Linked DNA regions of Caenorhabditis elegans. The protein of the gene in region 4 purifies or fractionates together with the protein of the main gene of each other region. This does not show direct contact. Each region holds a gene or a part of one and is shown on either strand. Other genes may lie near its edges. The genes, in order: ran-4, ran-5, xpo-2 and ran-1.

Region 1 (3,371 bases), on a different chromosome or scaffold from region 4:
CGTATGTAGAATAGAGTGAGATGATCTGGGAACAGAGTAAATTATACATTTGAAGATAGAATATTTCATTTTTGAACTATTAATGCGCACTTTCCCACACTTTTTTTTTGCAAAAACTAACTTGAATAATGACTGTCAGAATAATGGCGTCTTTACAGTATTCTCCGAATGCTTCTGGATCGTTCAAATCGGCACCAGCATCCAAAACATGTCCTTTATCGTCAAGCTTTGCTTCTAAAATCATAATTTCAGATTAATACAAAAAATTAATGGGTAAGACAAACTTACTAGCTAAAGATTTCATGAAAAGAATAGCAAAGATCTGCACGAGCGCTGAGACAGCAAAAAATACATAATCGGTGGAAGAGCACTGGCTCAGAAACATACACGATGAATAGTAGATTGCCTAAAACAATTTTTAAAAAATCGTTGAAATGTGAAATTACAAATGTTTACCATGCTAATCGTGCTAGCCACACTATAAGTGGTGACAGTCTTCTGATTCTCCTCATAGATCTCTTTCTGCCCTTTTGTTGCTTGTTTCACCATCTGTATTTAATTTTTATATTTTTGAGGTCATTGCTGAAAAAGTCAAAGGTATTGTAAAGGTTGAAAAACCACTAATAATAACGAATTAAACAAAATTTTCTCGATATCTCGGAAAGAAAATGATAAAAACTTCATTCTTTAGTTTGAACCGATTTGCAAACTAGAAGTTTGAAATTGTGCGAAATAGTAAAACGACACGAAACTGTGTGGGGAAAGAAACCGATTTAGAAACATGGAAAAAGCCGGGTTGAAATAGATATTTAAGCAATTTGGTGAAAATTCAGTTCTTGAAAAATTGTTCAATACGGGGACACATTTTGATAGGAAAGTGGACGAATTGATATCTAATTGTTGTGCAAGTCAAGTCGGAAGATCTCGTTTCCGATGAAGTAGGAACCCTGATTGTTTGGACGGAGAATAAAGACTTGCGAGAAGGGATTGATTGGATCTTCGTCGGTCTGAATAATTTTTTTTCGGTTTTTTTGAAAACTACTTCTACTTACCTTGAGCTGACCAAGAACCATCACTTGAATTGATCCATCATACAGAGGCTGAGAGTCAATCACAGTGATCGCTCGTTGAATTTTTGTGAATCCGAGAGTCTAAAAGTGTTTCGTTATTGAACTCTCGTACTTTTGCACAAACCGTGAACTTTTGGAGAATTCCGTCACGGCCTTTCGCTTGCTGTCCTTCAAAAGTCATGTAAGAGTTTTCTGGGTCGTACAAATCGGAGAGTCCTGAAATTCACTAAGTTTATTGTTTTTTTCAGACGAAATACCTTGAGCACGACTCATTCCATCGCCAACATCGAACTTTGAGTAGTAATGTTGAATGAAGGCCTTTGCAACACTTTCGTAATCAGGATTGAAGCTCATTCCTTTAAAAACGACAAATTGGGAAAAATAATTGAAAAAGAGTAAAAATAAATAAGATAGGTAGGAAAAAGCAACGAAGAATACGATAATTTTCGAAACAATTGAATTATATATTTACTCGAGATGGGTTGTCTCAATAAATTTTGAAAATTAGTTGTTAGATGAGCAGTGGTCTTGCTCGCATTGAGAAAAATAAACAGCAACCAAATTGTTTTTTTTTAGTTTTTAAAGTTTAAACCCTCGGCCTCATGTTTCAGTTTTCGAAAGAACAGTATTGTCTTCCTGCGTTTTGTTCGTTCTTGGGAAGTTTAATTAAAAATAATTATGAATTATTTGATTCCTCACAAGAGAAAACCGATTAAAAAAAATAAAAATGCCTAAATAAATTGGAAAATCAGAATAAAATGGCAAGGTGCCAGCATCGCGCGCACATTTTGTAGCATAATCCAGCGGAGCGCGATTACTGCACAGAAAGCGAGAGAGTGTGTAAACGAGAGAGAACACGTTATGAGCAGAGAAATCGCCTTGTCGTCACTCTTTTTGTTGAAGAGGCGCAGAGAAAAAAGAGTTGGTTGGCTCTGTTTTTATGTCTCTTTGAGCTCGCCAAAATGGAAAACAGAGCTGGAAAAGCAACAAAATAACGACAAAACCACTGAAATTATGTTCCTCTTTTGTTGTTGCTCCATTTTTTATTTCTTTCCATTCTACCAATTGAATAAGAAGTTAAACTTTATTCTTACTCCGTAATGTTGGCATTTCAAAAATCAATTTTCTGTAATTTATAGAAACTTGAAATAATTTTCCATCTCTGCGCATCCTCATGCCTTAGCGAACACCATATATGTATGTTCTTTCACTCTTCCCTTTTCGGCACCTGACCAGTCTTTTGAAGCCAACGTTTTCTGAAAATAAAGAACCGTTACTATTATATTTTCACATCATCCAGAACTGAAATGATATCAATTTTCGAGAGCTCATTACATCAAACTCATCCAGTCACATTTATGGTTACCTTGGTAACAGTTCATTGACAAAATTAATGCAAGCAATTCCGAACTCATTACATACTGCTTCTCACATGATTATCAAAATTCTATGAGCGATACATATACTCAGTTAGTTTTCAAATGTAGATTTTTGTAATTGAAAGGAAAATAAGTAAGCCAAACATTTTAAAACTAAATTGTATACCATTTTGCTGACTGAATTTGAGCAAGCTTTAAAACTCCCAAATTTTTTTCTAAAAATGGAAGAAAATTTATGTGAACCTCTAACTATGTGTCGATTTACCCAGCTTGTGTAATAGTTCGAGAATCAAAATTTTTTTAAAGTTTTTGGTCTTGATTTTTGACAGTATTAATTACATCTTTCTCAAAAGGAAAATCCCATCCAAGATAAAACATTTTAGCCTGTAAAAGTTGTGAAATCGCCTTAGAAGAATATGTGAGCTTTTTTCAAAAATCTCAGTCACATTTTGGAAAACTGCCAGATTTTCTAAAGATTTTATTTTTAGTAATTCCGAGCATCTTGCAGGTTCATACAACGTTCAAATACAAATTATTGGAACGTAGTTCAAATATAAAACTTGTAGAAAAAGCAACGTAATTGTCACTGAATACGAAAACGTATAGCAAATTTTGAAAATGTTAACTATGATGTTCGCCAATTTGACCATATGAGTGATTTAATTTAAACCTTTAATTAAAATTTTCATGAATGTGGCCGAGTTTTTTCACATTCGCGGCCACGCAACGCAGAAATATGTACATGGGTACAGTAACCCCTCCTGTCGAGTTAAATATACTCTTATAGGAGAGAGCTCTTAACTATTCACATGTACGAAAAATAATAATATTTGCCAATTTTCTCGCTCTCAAAATTCCATTTGAAAGAGAGAAAAAACTGTTCTCGATACACGAAGAAACATGCGATATATGTTAATCATAA
Region 2 (4,131 bases), on a different chromosome or scaffold from region 4:
CATCTCTCTCACTTCTTCCGCCGCGGCGGGTCGCTCACAACAAACAGCGAGTCAGGGACATAAGAAAGAGATTAGAGACGCAGACGTCACTATTTCGCTTTGACCCCTCCGTTATTTAACTGTCATTGTTTAACAGGTAATGAGAAAAGTGTTTATGAAGGTGAAAAATTGTTGGCAAAGTATTTGACAAAAATATACATCATACGGTTTTAATAAATTATGAATGATTTTTAAACCCTTTTGATTGAAAAGTAACTAGTTGAGCATTGTATGATCTTCGAAGATATTCCTTCGTTGCTCCTCGACCTTCTTCATCCAACGATTCTGTTCGGCCTCGACGCGTCCGAGAACATCTGAAGAAAATACTTTTTTAGTAAAAACTATAAAATCTTCAAATGGAGCACTTACTACTTCTCGCACGTGTGGTTCCTTGTGTATCCATTGAATTACTTGCTGAAGATGATTCATCGTCAGTTGATGGAGCAGCAGCAAAGATATTATCCTCCATTTCATCATTATGTTGTTGATAACTGATCGATAATCGTTTCTTCCGGAGCATTGGATCCAGGCACATAAGGAATACCATGTATCCCGTTAAAACAGCGATCACACAGATTACAAATATTACAACTACTTTTAAGAGCACAGTGTTTCGTGACTCATAACGGCAGTCGCAATTTGCAAGAAATGCATCCATATGGGTCTCGTCAACGAAGTTACTGACTTGATCTTTCACAATGTTGCTTGGCTTGCTGAAATGTTTGAAAAATTATATTTCTTTGTCGAATTTAAGGTTTATTTGTGTAAATGATGAATTTGAGCTGTTGAAAAAAATTAAAAAAATAAGTGTTGAAAATGTTTTAAAACTGATCAACATGTTTTTTTGATGAAATGGAAGGAAAATAAAGACTTAGAAATTCGAGATTTCATGGTTATGATTTATTTTTATTCGAATTTTTACAACGATGTAGATTCTCAGCAATAGAAAATAAAAATAATTGTTTTTCTAAATCATATTTGTGGTTTTCTGAAAGAGAAAAAATTAAAACTGTGACTAAAGTTCCCACAAAAATTTCTCAAATTTTAACGTTTATAAAACAGTCGGAAACGTTCAAATTTCGATGAAAAAAAGAAATTCAAATTTGCAATTGCTTTGAGCGAAATAATACCATAAAGGTGGGAGAATTTCATAACTCTGCCAAGTTATTTTTGATGTGGATTTTTAGCAAAAAATATCAGAGTGACTAGGAGATATTTACATATTCGGATTTGATATTTTATATTTTCTATTAAAACAATTCAGATTTAAAATTAAAAAAACTCACCAATGGCTCGGTTCGATGTTAGTTTTTGTATAAAATCGTCTCCTCAATCCTTCTGTTTTTTCAGTTGTATTTTCAGCCAAGTCGAGAAATTTTAAAAGACTCGGACAAATGCATCGACATCGTGTATCTTCGAAGTTAGCCTGAAAATATTTATTAAATTATATCTTTATAAAAGTAGTTATGAAACAAACCTCAGTCCCTGCTTGGGATAATGCGGGAAGAAACAGTAAAGCAATAAATAAATATATCATTAAATCTGAAAAAATTACGGAAGTTGGACTGTATTTTTTTTTATTTTTGCAAGAAAATAAAAAATGCTCTGAAAAATAGAATACAAGTAAAACAAGAAGTGCGCCAGTGCAACTTACTGGCGCTTTTCGCGATGGCTGACGCATTCTTCGTTTCACTTTTATGATGTTCACAACGAAAATCGAAGAAATAAAAACTTGCACTTATTTTTGTCTTAAATTTCAATTTTTCTTCTGCTTGTTGAGTAATTTTTCAGTTCTCAGTCTAAATTACTTGCTAATTATCTTCATTTCAGTCTGCATGAATACTAATAATCGATTTTTCGCATTTTTTTTGCAATTTCTATCCGGTATTTGTCTTTTTTAATTCATTCGTTACTATTTTCAGTCATGTCAAAAGGTTTTGCTTTCAAACCGTCTGCTTTAGCTGCCAAGGCAGATAAACTGTGGTCAGATAGTAAGTTTTCAATTTTGTGTTATGTTATCTAAGTCACGTGAATTTGCAGGCAAAACAGAATACACAGCAACTCATTCAACAATCAACCACGTTCATTTGGAAAAGAAATCGCTGGGCGATATTATTCCGAAATCAGCAGATGCGCCTGTTGCAAATGAAAAAGTTCGTTGAAACACAATGAGTCAAAAAATTCGTTTTCTTCTAATTATAGGAAGTCGAAGAGGCTCCACAAGCATTTGTTTTTGGCTCCAAAATATCAGATCGTGTTGTGAACAAAGAAGGTGATTCAACAAAGCCGGGTGGTTCAGACGAAAAGACCATGACAGCAACTGAGCTCTTCCAAAATGCAGTTAAAAAAGATGACGATGTAATCTATATTTCGAATCAATATTTCTATTCATAATGTTAATTTCAGAAAAATGGAGCCAAAAACTTCAGAAAGGAAGCTGAACAAGAAGCGGAGAGAGCAAAGGAAGCCGAAAAGCAGCATGCCGGAACGAGTTCAGTCGAAATCACCACCGGGGAAGAGAACGATACTAATATTTTCCAAGTGAGGCAGTATTCATTAAAACATAATTTTTATTTATTTGTCTTTAGGCTCCTTGCAAAATTTGGGCGTTTGATAAATTGAAAAATGCCTACTCTGAAAAGGGTGTCTGCAATCTCAGGATCAACAAACGAGTCGAGAACGGACTGACGCACCACCGAATTGGTAAATACTGATAGTTAGAGTTTATTGTATTCAAAATTATTTTCAGTGGCAAGAACATCTTCCGGTACTCTTCGTGTCATCATAAATTCCAAAATTTTCTCTGATATGCTTTTGGAGCGGGTCGACAAGAGAATTCGAGTGAGCTTTAATGTTATATGAATATATGTTTTATTGTTACTGTTTACAGATTTCCGCAATGGGACCAGAGATCAGCGGTGTTCAGATTTTCCTTCTAAAAATCGGATTCACCAAAACTGAGACGATCCCCGATTCGGATATATTCTACAATATTATGAGCGACCTGCTGAAATTGGAGAAGGGAGAGAATAGTCGGAAGAGGAAAGCGGATTGTGATCTGAACGCTTCAACTGTTAAAATCAAGGATGGAAAGGAAGAAGAAGAAGGTGATCAAGATCAAGTTGATGAAGGATTTGTCATTGTAAACAAGCCAACAGAAGATGAGGTGAAAGAAGAAAAACCAGCTGTTACAGCTGCCGAAGAATCTGCATCCAGCTCAACTCCTTCCGAATAACCATATCAGTCATTGCTTCTTTCAACTTCCCCTGTGCTCTTTTTTCTCCTTCCAATCCCCACAAAAATGGTCTCCAACTTTCACCCAACTCAAATCATTTCCCCTTAAGTCTAATTTCTTTATTGCTAAAAATTTCTTCTAGATTTCTACCAATCTGGCCTAACTTTCCAATTTCGTTTTATTCTTATATATCCCGTTTTATGTGTTTGTCGAATATATTTGGTTTGTGAAAAAGAGAAGAGTTTGCAATAAAAAGCAGAAATACAATCAAGAAGACACTTAGACAATGGCGTTTCGGTTATCAGTGGCGCTCTTACTGAAGGAGGAGGAGAGCGAGATAACGATCGTTGTGGGGTGATCGATTCAGAATTCAATTGGCAACACCATGATCATTTATCACCTTGTCAATTCTGTAGCATTGTTTCAGTAGGAGAAGATTTTTTTGTAGTTAAATATCAATTTTGAGTATAACAAACGCGATTTTTGCACCTAAAATACGGTAGCCGGTCTCGTCACGACAATTTTTAATACTTAAAAAAAAATTGTATCAATTTATTTATAAACTCTAAAATAACACCGAAACACTTCAATTTTTATAAATCTAGAGGAAAAATCGATTCCGCATCAATGAGAGTTTGAAGTTACAGTACTCCTTAAAGGTGCACACACCTTCTTGCATTTAATAAAAAGTTGTCGCGTTGAGACCCGGTACCGGTTTTTTGGCGTCTTTGTAATAAACCCCTTTGAATTTAGTTTTGAAGTTTAAACTTTGAAGTTCAAAGTTTGAAATTATCCCATAATATCTAACCACGCGTCGGGCGTTTAATATCATAAAATCAAAAGTCGAATTTTTTTTA
Region 3 (7,394 bases), on a different chromosome or scaffold from region 4:
AAAATGGAATAAAACCTATTTTTCTTGATTTTTTAGGCGAAGAAACAAAAAAAAAGCCTTTTTCTATCATTTTTTAAACAAAAAAATTGGCTTTTTCTTAATTTTTTTGTCGAAAAATAGTTATTTTAAATTGTTTTATTTTGTAAAAAAACGACTTTTTTAAAGTTATTTTTCGGCGAAAAATTTATTTTTTTAAATTAAAAATTGCCTTTTTCGTCATTTTTGTCAAAAGAAAAACCGACTTTTCTCGAATTTTTGTCAAAAAAATTGACTTTTTAATGATTTTTCGTCAAAAAAATTCTCAGTTCAGCTCAATTTCTTTCGCGATAAGAAGTTAAATGTTTTATTTTTCACTTCAAATTGCACAAATTCCGAAATAATTTTACAGTGTTTTCTCTGATTACAAAGCTAAAACTTGGATTTCTTCAACTTTTACAGCAAAATTAATGAAAATTTCCAATTTCCATAGCAAAAATGGTTAAAAATTAGCATTTTCAGATCAAGTTTTTTGGGTTTTAGGTTTTCCACTAAAAAATTGTGAAAAAAATCGATTTTCACTCTAAATTTATAATTATCTTTTATCTTAAAAATTTGGAGAAAACCGGGATGTTTCCCGTACCAATTTGTCGTAATCATCTTTTTCCAGCGGCTGGCGCCCGGTCGGCCTAAATGAAGCCTTCATTTTGCCCATCAAAGCCTGATACTTGGAATCCAACGACTCTGTCATCAGCTCGAGCTCATCCTTCTGCTGTTGCTTCTCGTGACGCGCCAGCTTCGTTTTCGCAATCAAATTCGAAATCATATCCTCTCGGCTGATTTTTTCGCGGACGTGCTCCTCGGCGGTCTTCTCTCCACCACCGAAATGAGCCACTTTTACCATATTTGAGCCCAAATTTCCCGGCTCTTCATCGTCATCCGAGTCGGAAATCATCGATTTGTCGTATTTTTCAATGTCCGAGAGCGCTTTTCCCTTGTGAGTAAGTACTGAAATTTACTTTATTAAAATTTTTCTCAATTTATTTCGGAATAAACCTTCTTCCTCCTCATCTCCATCATCTGTCAAGTTGAATTTCGATGCTCTTTTATAATTTTTGACTCTTTCCTCTGTGAATCTCATCGCGCCCTTCTCCTCCTCGCTTTTTCCGTCCTTTTCGCCGAGCCGTTTGTCGACAATTTTGCTAATCTTATTTTTCCGGTCATATTCTACGCCTAGCGTCTGTTCACGTTGCTCGTGAGCTCGTTTTCGTGACGCAGTCGGTGCTCCAACTTGTGCGCCCTTTTTCCGGCCGAGAATCTGCGAGAAAATCGATTTTTTCTTCAAAACTCTGAAAAACTCACGTCATGCTTGGATTTGTTGAATTTTAGCTCGAATGGATTGGTTTTTCGTTGCTTTTGCTTTTTATCAACACCCATGTTTGCTGAAAATGCGAAAAATTAGGGGGGAAACAGAGAAAAAACCAGGGGTATCCAGGAAAATTTAAGAATAAAAATTGGGAAGTTTGCGCGTCAAGTCGTGCGCATTGTACGCAACGACGCCTTTATTTTGCAAAGTTTTGAAAATTGAAATGTTTTAATTTATTTTTTTATGCACGTTTTGCTGAAAAAGTGGAAAATTTGAAGAAAATCAAGGGAAAACTAGGAAAAATCAGTAAAAATCAGTGAAAACAGAGAACATAATGAAAAAAATTTGCGCGTCGGGTCGGGTGCGCTGTACGCAAACACTTCACACTTTTGAAATTTTTTTTTTATTTTTGCGAATTTTTGCGAGTTTATTCCCCGCGGGCCTGCGAAAAATTGCGTAAAACTTTAATATTTTGACCGGAAATTTTAGATTTCAAGTTTTAAGCTAAACTATCTTTGTCCTTTCACCTAATTCTTCCCTATTTCACCCCCAAAACAGCTATTTTTCCCTATTTTCAGATGGAGCAAATCGGAGCAGCTCTCCAGCAGACTCTGGAGCCGGATGCTGCGATTCGCAAGCGTGGAGAAGAAGCGCTCCGCTCGCTGCAATCAAATCCAGGCTATATCATTCAAATTCTTCAACTGGTGGTCAACGAACAGCAACAAATTGCTCCGCAGATCCGAATCGCCGCGGCTGTCGCTTTGAAAAATTTTGTGAAGAGAAATTGGGTTGGAAAATTTGAATAAATGCGTGAATTTTATATTTAAATTGTTTCAGGGCCCGGCACCAGAGGTAGAAATGGGCCAGGAAGACGAGGAGCAGTTCAGAAGCATGCTTCTCGAAGCGATGTTCAATACAAAATCAAATGTTCAGGAAATCCTGTCCAATGCTCTGTATCTCATCGCTCAGAGAGATTTTCCCGAAAAATGGCCAGATTTGGTTCCATATTTGTCGAAATTCCTGAACGGAGCGGATCTCAATCACCTGGTGGCCTCGCTGGCGTCGATGGAGCAGATTTTCCGCAAATTCCGATTCGAATCCAAGTCAGCAGAGCTTTGGAAAGAGCTGAAGAAGTGTCTACTGAGCGTGAGTTGCGTTTTGGCTCAAAATTTGGCTAATTTCAGCTAAAATCCCCAATTTTGGCCACTTTTTTACGTCGCAGCCGTCGGAAGTTGAATTTTTGTCCGCTTTGACCCTAAAAAATGACCAAAATTAGACATTTAAGCTAGCTAAAGCTGGCCTTGTTTTCCGAAAAATCGTGAAAAATTCAACATTTTATGATTTTTTAGTCAAAAATTTTAACTAAAGCAAAAATGAGGAATTTTTGGCGAAAATTGATAATTTTCCTATAAAAATGGACAAATTTTCAAAATTTTTGAGCCAAAAAATTGAAGAAATCTGAATGTCAGTCTCGAATTTGGACCGAAAAACTGTTTTCTCCCCAGATTTTTCAGTTACAAATAAAAAGAACCGATTTTTCAGACCCAAGAGCCTCTAACTCTGTTGCTACGGAACATGATGGAGGTGGGACAGCGGAAGGATCAACTCGGAGCCGACGAGATCGCCCAATGGCTCCGAGTCTTACTTCTCATTGCAAAAGTCTACCATTCTCTGTGCTCACAGGAGATTCCGGAATACTTCGAGGATCATCTCAAGGACTGGATGCCACACTTCTTGCATCTCGTGCAAATCGACGCGCCGACGCAGACCTCCAACTCGGGAGAACCTACAACTCTGGACGAGCTTAAGCACGAGATCTGTGAGATCTTCACGCTCTACTCGCAACGCTACGAGGAGGAGATCTCCGAGTTCGTGCCCGACATCATCCTTGCCGTCTGGAATCTGCTCAAGTCTACCGGCCCCGACACTCGATACGATACGATGGTGTGCGCCGCGCTGGAATTTCTGTCGATGGTCAGCCAGCGACAGTACTACGAGGGACACTTCACTGGTGAAGGCGTTCTGAAGACTCTCGCCGAGAACGTGTGCGTTCAGAACCTTCTGCTTCGTCAACAGGATATGGAACTGTTCGAGGATGAGCCACTGGATTATATGAAGCGAGACATCGAGGGTACCGATGTAGGAACTCGACGCCGTGGAGCCATCGATCTTGCGCGAGGTCTCTGCCGAAGATTCGAGGCGCAAATGCTTCCATGTCTGGGGGAGATCGTGCAGAACCTGCTGGGAAGTGGTGATTGGATCAAGATCGACATTGTCTACTCGCTGATCACGGCGATCGCGGTGAAGACGGAGACTGCTAAGAGTGGAGTAACGGCGACGAACCCGCTGGTGGACATCAACGACTTCTTCATCACACAAGTGGCCACACATCTCAACGCCGATGTCAATCAAACTCCGATCCTTAAAGCTGATGCACTGAAGTTTGCGGTCACTTTCAGGAAACAGCTGGCTCCAGAGCACCTTATGACTGCGATCAAGTCGGCGGACGCTCTTCTCAGCTCGAATACTCCGATTCTGCACAAGTACGCAGCTTACGCTATTGAAAAGATCCTTCTCGCTGATTCCAACAAAATCTTCTCGGCTCAAAATCTTCCAGTCTCCTCGATCCTTCAGAACCTTGTCACCGCGTTCGACAAGGATGCCAAAGCGCAAAACTCGCCGTATCTGATCAAGGCGATTTTGAGGATCATTGTGATTCTCGATGACGACACGATTCGGCATGCGGACGCGATTGCGGTCAAGCTCGCACAGTTGGTCGAGTCGGCGACGAAAAATCCGGCGGATTCGGTGCACACGCACTTTTTGTTTGAGACGATTTGTGTGTTGATCACCAAGGTAAGGAGTAGTTTGAGAGAAAAATACCACTCTAAACTCCGCCCATTTTTCCGTGCCGCACTTTGGTCTCAAATTTTTTTTCATAAATTGGAACATAACTTGTCAAATTTTCTGAAATTTTTCTGCAAAAAAAAATTCGCTGAAACTCGGAAATTGGAATAGACATCGATAATTTAACTTTCGATCTGAAAATTTTCGGAAAAATTGGCAATTTTGCTGGAAAACGCAAAAATTTACAAAAAACCAACACTTTTCCGTTTTCGTGTTTTCAAAAAATATACCTTTTTTTAATTTTTCGGAAAATCGAAAAAATTCAATTTTTCTGATAAGAAACCTAAAAACTGAAAAATTTTAGTTTTTAATTATTTTTGTCGAAACAAACCCCGAAAAATTGAACGATTTTCACTGAAAAAAAAATCAAAACTTTTTGTTTTTCAATTTTTCGATGTTTTTTTCCGAAAAAATCGAAAAGAATCTTCTTTTTTTAAAGAAGAAATCGATAATTTTTTTCTGAAAAAAAAAAATTAAAAATTGCAAAATCGAAACATTTGTCTGCTTTTTCGTGTTTTCCTTTTTGTGATTTTTTTTCTTATTCAAAAAAAAAGTGATAGCAATTTTAAGAACATTTTATATTTTTTAACGAATTTCCTGTTCCAGACCCGAACAATCGGCGCCTCACTGGATGCTCAACTCCTTCCACTGATCGAAGTGATCTTCCGCGAGGATTTGGAAGATCTCATCCCATATGCTCTCCAAATCACGGGAGTTCTCGTCTCCTCATGTATCGCTAGAAACTCATCGATCGATCAATTCTCACCGTTCCTTCCGTTTCTGCTATCCGAACGTCTTTGGGCGAGATCAGCGAATGTTCCAGCGGCACTTTCGGTTCTCGAAGTGATCCTTTCCGTGAATGCTCAGCGAGTCGTCTCGGAGAATTCTGGGTTGATCTTGAGCCATTTGGCGCGGCTTTTGGGCTCGAAAACCTTGGATCAATACGGTTTCCAGTTGGCGGCGACGATTCTTCCGTCGATTGAGCACTTCGAGGGTTCCGCGATGACATTTGTGCTCAATACAATGTTTCGAAGAGTTCAATCGTCGAAGACACCCAAGTTTATGAAGCTATTCATCGTGTTCTTGTGTCGATTTACGATCGCCCGGAGTGCACAGGATCTTGTTCAATCGTGTGAGAATATTCAGACTGGCATGTTCGGAATGCTCATCGAGAAGGTCGTATGCATTGATTTGCCAGGTCTGAAACAAACGACAACGGGGCCTGAGAAACGGATTATTGCCATTGGAATGGGCAATTTGCTAGCCGATGTCACGCAGCAGCTTGTGTTAGTAATGAAAATTTAGGCTTTTTTCCAGAAAAAATATCGAAAAACGAAAATTTTCGATTTTTTATATTTTTTTCAAAGGAAATTGAAAATCACATATTTTCGATTCAGTTTTTTTTTCTCCGATTTTTTTTTTAAACTTTAATACGGGTTTAAAAAAAATAGAAAGTTACAATTTTTAAATATTTCAGAAAAAAAAACGAAAATTTTCTATTTTTTAAAGATTTTTTTGGAAAAAATTGAAAAATTGCAAATTTTCGGTTTTTTTCCAGAGAAAAGTTAAAAATCACATATCAAAAAAAAATTTGAAAAACACAAATTTAAAAAAATAAAATTGAAATTTTGTCGATTTCTTCGTTTTTTTTCCTGACAAAATCTGGAATTTTCAGTTTTTTGAAAAATCGACAATTACCGACTTTTCCCTATTTTTTCAAAAAAACAAAATCGAAAACTGCCGATTTTTCAACAAAAAAATTAAATCAAAAATGAAGATTTTAATTTTTTTTTCGGTTTTTTCTCAAAAAAAAAACAATTAACGACAATTAACAAAAACAAAATTACAAATAAAATCATTTTAAATTCAATTTCTCATATAAATTTTTTTTGCAGTGGTCAATACGGAATTCTGTCATACGAGGTGGCAATGCTGCTGGAAGCTGCTTCAGCCTCCGATCGAGCCGTCCTATCACCAGAAGAAGAGCAAGCTTCAATGTACAACGCCGAGGGAGAATTTGTGAACCCATTCTGTCGTCTGAGTTACGCTCCCAAGCAACCGCCCGTCGCCGCCAACATCGCCAACCACAAGGCCTACTTTGCGCAGGCCGTTCTTGTCCGTGGACCCGGAAATTGTCCAGAGACACTTCGTTCTGTACCGCCCGAGATTGTCACCTATTTGCAGTCTATTCAGCAATAATTTCCCCGATATTTATATTTTTTCAATTGTTTATTATCTTTTTTTTTCTCTGCTGCTGCCCGATTACTCGCTCTTTCTCTCTAAAAAAAATCCCCCGTTGTTAACTTTTTTGTCTTAAATTTCAAATTTCTCACTTTCCATCTCTGATTAGTTTACGGTTGTCGAAGCCCCGCTTCTTCTTCTTCTTATCTCACATCTGCCCCAGTTTTTTCCTCTTCAAATTGCCTTATTTAATTGTTTTTCACGACATTTTTGCTGTCAAATACACAGAAATTCACCTCGATTTTGAGTGTAAGATGTGGTGCCTGAAGGAGTGACGCGCAAAATATCTCGTAGCGAAAACTACAGTAATTCTTTAAATGAATACTGTAGCGATTGTATGTCGATTTACGGAAATAATTTATAATTTAGTAATCGATGACGCACACAAAAAACAAAAAAAATAATTTTAAAAATCGAACCCGTAAATCGACACCAGCGCTACAGTAGTCATTTAAAGGGTTACTGTAGTTTTCGCTACGAGATATTTCGCGTTCTCAGAATTCAAATAGTGTTTCCGTAATATCATGGCTCCTTTCCACGGGGAGGCAAAGCTAACGTGGCCGCGAGAGTGCGCCGGCTAGCCACCGCCTCCTATGGTTAAGAATTTTGATCGAATAAACATTTTTAATTTGACTTATATGCTTATTTTTCTTCGTTTTTTCTTATTTTTTCTTGTTTTTTCTTGTTACTACGTGGAATAAGCATAATGTTTTCAGCTAATCTACGCAAACCGCTTCGAAATTCGATGGATTAAACCGGACAAAGGCAAAAAACGTCGAAAAGTAAGTTATTATTCAAAATATCTCGAAAAATTATGGTACAATATTTCTGAAAATCTACTCAAATATGGAAAAATATATGCTGATTCCGAATTAAAAAGTCTTGAACCTCAATCTCGCGTATT
Region 4 (3,538 bases):
ATCGTTGATGTGTTCATCTGAGCAATAGCGATGCAGATGGCTTCTCCCTTCGTCGACATGATGACGATCTCCTTGCCAACCTCGATGTCATCGTCGTAACGAAGAATTCCGGGAATAAGGATCTTGGCTCCGTAGCAGATCGCGTTGATGCAACTGTCCTTGACAACAACTCTCTTGTGCTGGGTGAGAAGAGCCTCAAGTGGACGAACGATGTGTCTCATGTAGCTCTCGTCTTTCTGGGTGTCTAGGAGATACTGAGCATCGAGAACGTCGTGCATTGTGACCATATTCTCGTTTTCATCGCAGATTCCGGATCTGTTTCTGCGAAGCTCTTGCATTTGACCTCCGCATCCGAGGATGAGACCGAGATGCACACAAATTGTACGAACGTAGGTTCCCGACTCGCAGATGCAGCTGAAATTAAATGAAAACTAGAAATTAGATTTATTATAAGGATTCTTACTTGAAAATTCCCATCTGTTGAGCTGGATCATACTCGATGAACTTGTTCTCGTAAACGGTACGAATACGAAGCTGACGCTTGACAGCTGAGATCAGTGGTGGGCGTTGGAAGAGGGCTCCGGTGAGCTTCTCGAGGGCTTGCTTCACCTTGCGATCATCCTCAACTTCCTCGTGGAGCTTGAAGATGCAGATGTATTCCTTTCCAGCTCCTTGCTGCGACTTGGCCAAACGAGTGGTACGGTCGATACAAACGATCAGACATCCCGATACTTTTGGATCGAGTGTTCCACTGTGTCCGGTCTTCTCGCAACGAAGAATTCTCTTGATCCAGGACACGACTTCGTGAGAAGATGGGTTCGATGGTTTGTCAAGATTGAAGAATCCAGACGAAATGTAGTTCTTGATGTCACGCTTTAATGGTGATACTCCCTCGACGTGTGGTGTGTAGTGATTGGTGCGCACATTCAATTTGTCGTAATTCTGAAATAATAATTTAATTTTTAAATGAGATCACTCAACTACCTTGAGCAAAAGTGGCCACTGGGAAGCATCGAGCTTGGCGGTTTCGTTCGAGGATGGAAGTTGGAATGATCCCTTCTGTTGAGCCTCCTGAAATAATGAAAATGTACTCAATATTTAATAAATGGCTTGAAAATTAAAAACTAACAGCTAGATCGTCTCCCTCAAGCTTGGAACGCTTATCCTTCTTGCCCATGATGAGATCTTCGCTGAAAAAATAACATTATTGACAAAATCCAACAGTTCTGAAGCGATTAACAAGAGTTTAAAGATTAATAAGGTTCTAATGAACTCCAAATATGCCTCATAAGCTCGTGGAAAGTGTCAAGAAGCAGAAAACCTGCCAGAAAACTATCGATTTTTTGAAAAACGAGAGAAGAAACCCCCATTGGCAGTGTGCCAGACGAAAGAGACACAGGCTGCGTGTGTGCCCCTATGCCTCAACACACACGGGGTTCTACGCAAAAACATTTTCGAATTTTGTTCATTTTGGCGCGCAAATCTGGCTTGTTGCGCCATTTTCGAATACTTTTCTTGTCCCTGGCGCCAAGTTTTGTCATCTTTTTTCGGTTTTTTCATTCATTTTGATGCATTTGCGTTGTTTCCTCAGTTGGTTCACTGTAATTTTCGAGTTCTCTCTGATTTTGCTCCATGAGCAAGCTCTGATCACGAGATAATCTCTCTGCTCAGCTTCACGTCTCTTCTAAAACTTTTTTGCTCAATTCTAAATACACATTATCCGAACATTCTTGTTTTTGAAATATTTATCCACCGCTTCGTGATTTTCAACTGAAGCTTCGGTAATACGTAGAATTTCGCAATAATTCGCATTTTCGAAAAGTTTCGTGCTATTTTCCTCTTGACAATCTTTTTCCTTCGTATTTTATTCTCCTCATCTCCTCATTTCAGTCATGTCTGGTGGAGACGGCATCCCAACTTTCAAGCTTGTCCTTGTCGGAGATGGAGGAACCGGAAAGACTACCTTCGTTAAACGTCACTTGACTGGAGAGTTCGAGAAGAAGTATGTTGGTAAGTAATTCAGGAATTTGTTTCTCCCAGTTCAATAATTGTTTTCAGCCACTCTCGGAGTCGAAGTTCACCCACTTGTCTTCCACACCAATCGCGGACAAATTCGTTTCAACGTTTGGGACACCGCCGGACAGGAGAAATTTGGTGGTCTTCGTGACGGATACTACATCCAAGGTATGTTAAAATTCGAAATTATAACTTCTGAAATGCCCAATTTCCAGGACAATGCGCCATTATCATGTTCGATGTTACCGCTCGTGTCACCTACAAGAATGTCCCGAACTGGCATCGCGATTTGGCCAGAGTATGTGAAAACATTCCAATTGTTCTCTGCGGAAATAAGGTAATCACTAGCTGAAACTGGCCAATATATTCAATTACAAATTTCAGGTCGACGTCAAGGACCGTAAAGTGAAGGCCAAGACCATCACCTTCCACCGAAAGAAGAACCTCCAATACTACGACATCTCCGCAAAGTCGAACTATAACTTCGAAAAGCCATTCCTCTGGCTCGCCAGAAAGCTGCTCGGAGATCCAAACCTCGAGTTTGTCGCAATGCCAGCTTTGGCTCCTCCAGAGGTATTTTTAAATCCATGTTCTTTCATAAGCAATATTTTAATTTCCAGGTTCAAATGGACCCAGCCATGATTGCCGAATACGAAAAGGATCTGGACAACGCCGCCAAGGCTGATCTTCCAGATGACGACGATGATCTTTAAACACTTTAACCTTTCAAAATCCTTGTTTTCAAATCTCACAAAACCATCCCACCTAAATTTACCATTTTATACATTTCATATGCCAATTAATTTCTTAACTTAAAAATAATTTGCATACCCAACCGGTGTCTACAATTCAAAGTGCTGGCTTGGGTAGAAGAAGGATTGTACATTTGCTGTTTGATCGTTGTGCGAATGAATTGAAGAAATGGTTGGCTCATCACTCTCAATCTCCATGATTTATTTTATATTTTATGTTCGACTAAAAAATTTTAAACAACTTGTTGCAATAAATTGTAGCACCATTCGACAAGTGAATTATACCGGCAATAGGGAAAGTGAGCAAATGCAGAGGGGGATTTTTTTACACATATTTAAAGCACTTTTGATGATTCTGTGGGAGACGCGTCTTGAAAAGAATCGAGTCAGCACGGAATTGGGAGAATTTCAGAGGATTGTAGCCGTAGATTTTCGTGAACAATCGCATACATTCGTGGCGTTTCTCGAAATGTGTCCCTTCTTTATACAAGCTTTCCGTGCAAGTTGGACATCTGAAAATTGAAATTATTATTAGATTAGACTCATTTAAAATCTGGAAATTACTTGAGCGTCCATCGAGAAGTCGTTTTGATTGGCGGTTTTCGTGTGAGATGAGAAACTAAATAATTCATAGCAATGTCCTCGCAGTTTTTGATGCTATTCACATGTTCACGAATTTCAGCTGGCATTTCGTAGGTGTAAGCAGTCAAATAGTTCTGAAATTTTTAACGTTTTAGATTTTATACGGGTTTTACCCAGACGCGGGAATT

Evidence for each region.
Region 1: the proteins of ran-1 (region 4) and ran-4 fractionate together in Caenorhabditis elegans (co-fractionation; one large-scale study listed by BioGRID). This does not show direct contact.
Region 2: the proteins of ran-1 (region 4) and ran-5 fractionate together in Caenorhabditis elegans (co-fractionation; one large-scale study listed by BioGRID). This does not show direct contact.
Region 3: the proteins of ran-1 (region 4) and xpo-2 fractionate together in Caenorhabditis elegans (co-fractionation; one large-scale study listed by BioGRID). This does not show direct contact.

Annotation. Positions count from the first base shown.
Region 1 is NC_003279.8:8,589,270-8,592,640, reverse strand, and holds ran-4 (putative nuclear transport factor 2), read right to left. Parts: upstream 1,427-3,371; 5' UTR 1,425-1,426; coding exon 1,328-1,424; intron 1,287-1,327; coding exon 1,195-1,286; intron 1,152-1,194; coding exon 1,053-1,151; intron 1,008-1,052; coding exon 894-1,007; 3' UTR 663-893; downstream 1-662. Other genes in the region: tmem-208 (Transmembrane protein 208), read right to left, coding at 1-25, 122-234, 289-406, 457-549. UniProt on the Caenorhabditis elegans protein: Facilitates protein transport into the nucleus. Could be part of a multicomponent system of cytosolic factors that assemble at the pore complex during nuclear import.
Region 2 is NC_003280.10:6,046,148-6,050,278, forward strand, and holds ran-5 (RanBD1 domain-containing protein), read left to right. Parts: upstream 1-1,961; 5' UTR 1,962-1,963; coding exon 1,964-2,030; intron 2,031-2,079; coding exon 2,080-2,192; intron 2,193-2,241; coding exon 2,242-2,397; intron 2,398-2,445; coding exon 2,446-2,580; intron 2,581-2,627; coding exon 2,628-2,742; intron 2,743-2,788; coding exon 2,789-2,880; intron 2,881-2,929; coding exon 2,930-3,274; 3' UTR 3,275-3,539; downstream 3,540-4,131. Other genes in the region: R12C12.6 (Transmembrane protein 9), read right to left, coding at 256-353, 409-752, 1,326-1,465, 1,517-1,720.
Region 3 is NC_003279.8:317,879-325,272, reverse strand, and holds xpo-2 (Exportin-2), read left to right. Parts: upstream 1-1,920; coding exon 1,921-2,130; intron 2,131-2,179; coding exon 2,180-2,488; intron 2,489-2,884; coding exon 2,885-4,198; intron 4,199-4,855; coding exon 4,856-5,535; intron 5,536-6,144; coding exon 6,145-6,448; 3' UTR 6,449-6,724; downstream 6,725-7,394. Other genes in the region: nol-14 (Nucleolar protein 14), read right to left, coding at 620-984, 1,033-1,294, 1,339-1,413.
Region 4 is NC_003281.10:10,746,081-10,749,618, reverse strand, and holds ran-1 (GTP-binding nuclear protein ran-1), read left to right. Parts: upstream 1-1,890; 5' UTR 1,891-1,892; coding exon 1,893-2,010; intron 2,011-2,058; coding exon 2,059-2,184; intron 2,185-2,231; coding exon 2,232-2,353; intron 2,354-2,400; coding exon 2,401-2,589; intron 2,590-2,636; coding exon 2,637-2,729; 3' UTR 2,730-3,038; downstream 3,039-3,538. Other genes in the region: dkc-1 (Putative H/ACA ribonucleoprotein complex subunit 4), read right to left, coding at 1-414, 464-942, 985-1,071, 1,130-1,177; rib-2 (Exostosin-like-3 homolog), read right to left, coding at 3,094-3,280, 3,333-3,484. UniProt on the Caenorhabditis elegans protein: Ran GTPase system comprises ran-1, ran-2 and ran-3 and is essential in nucleocytoplasmic transport. Ran-1 is a GTP-binding protein that mediates the interaction between mitotic chromosomes and kinetochore microtubules.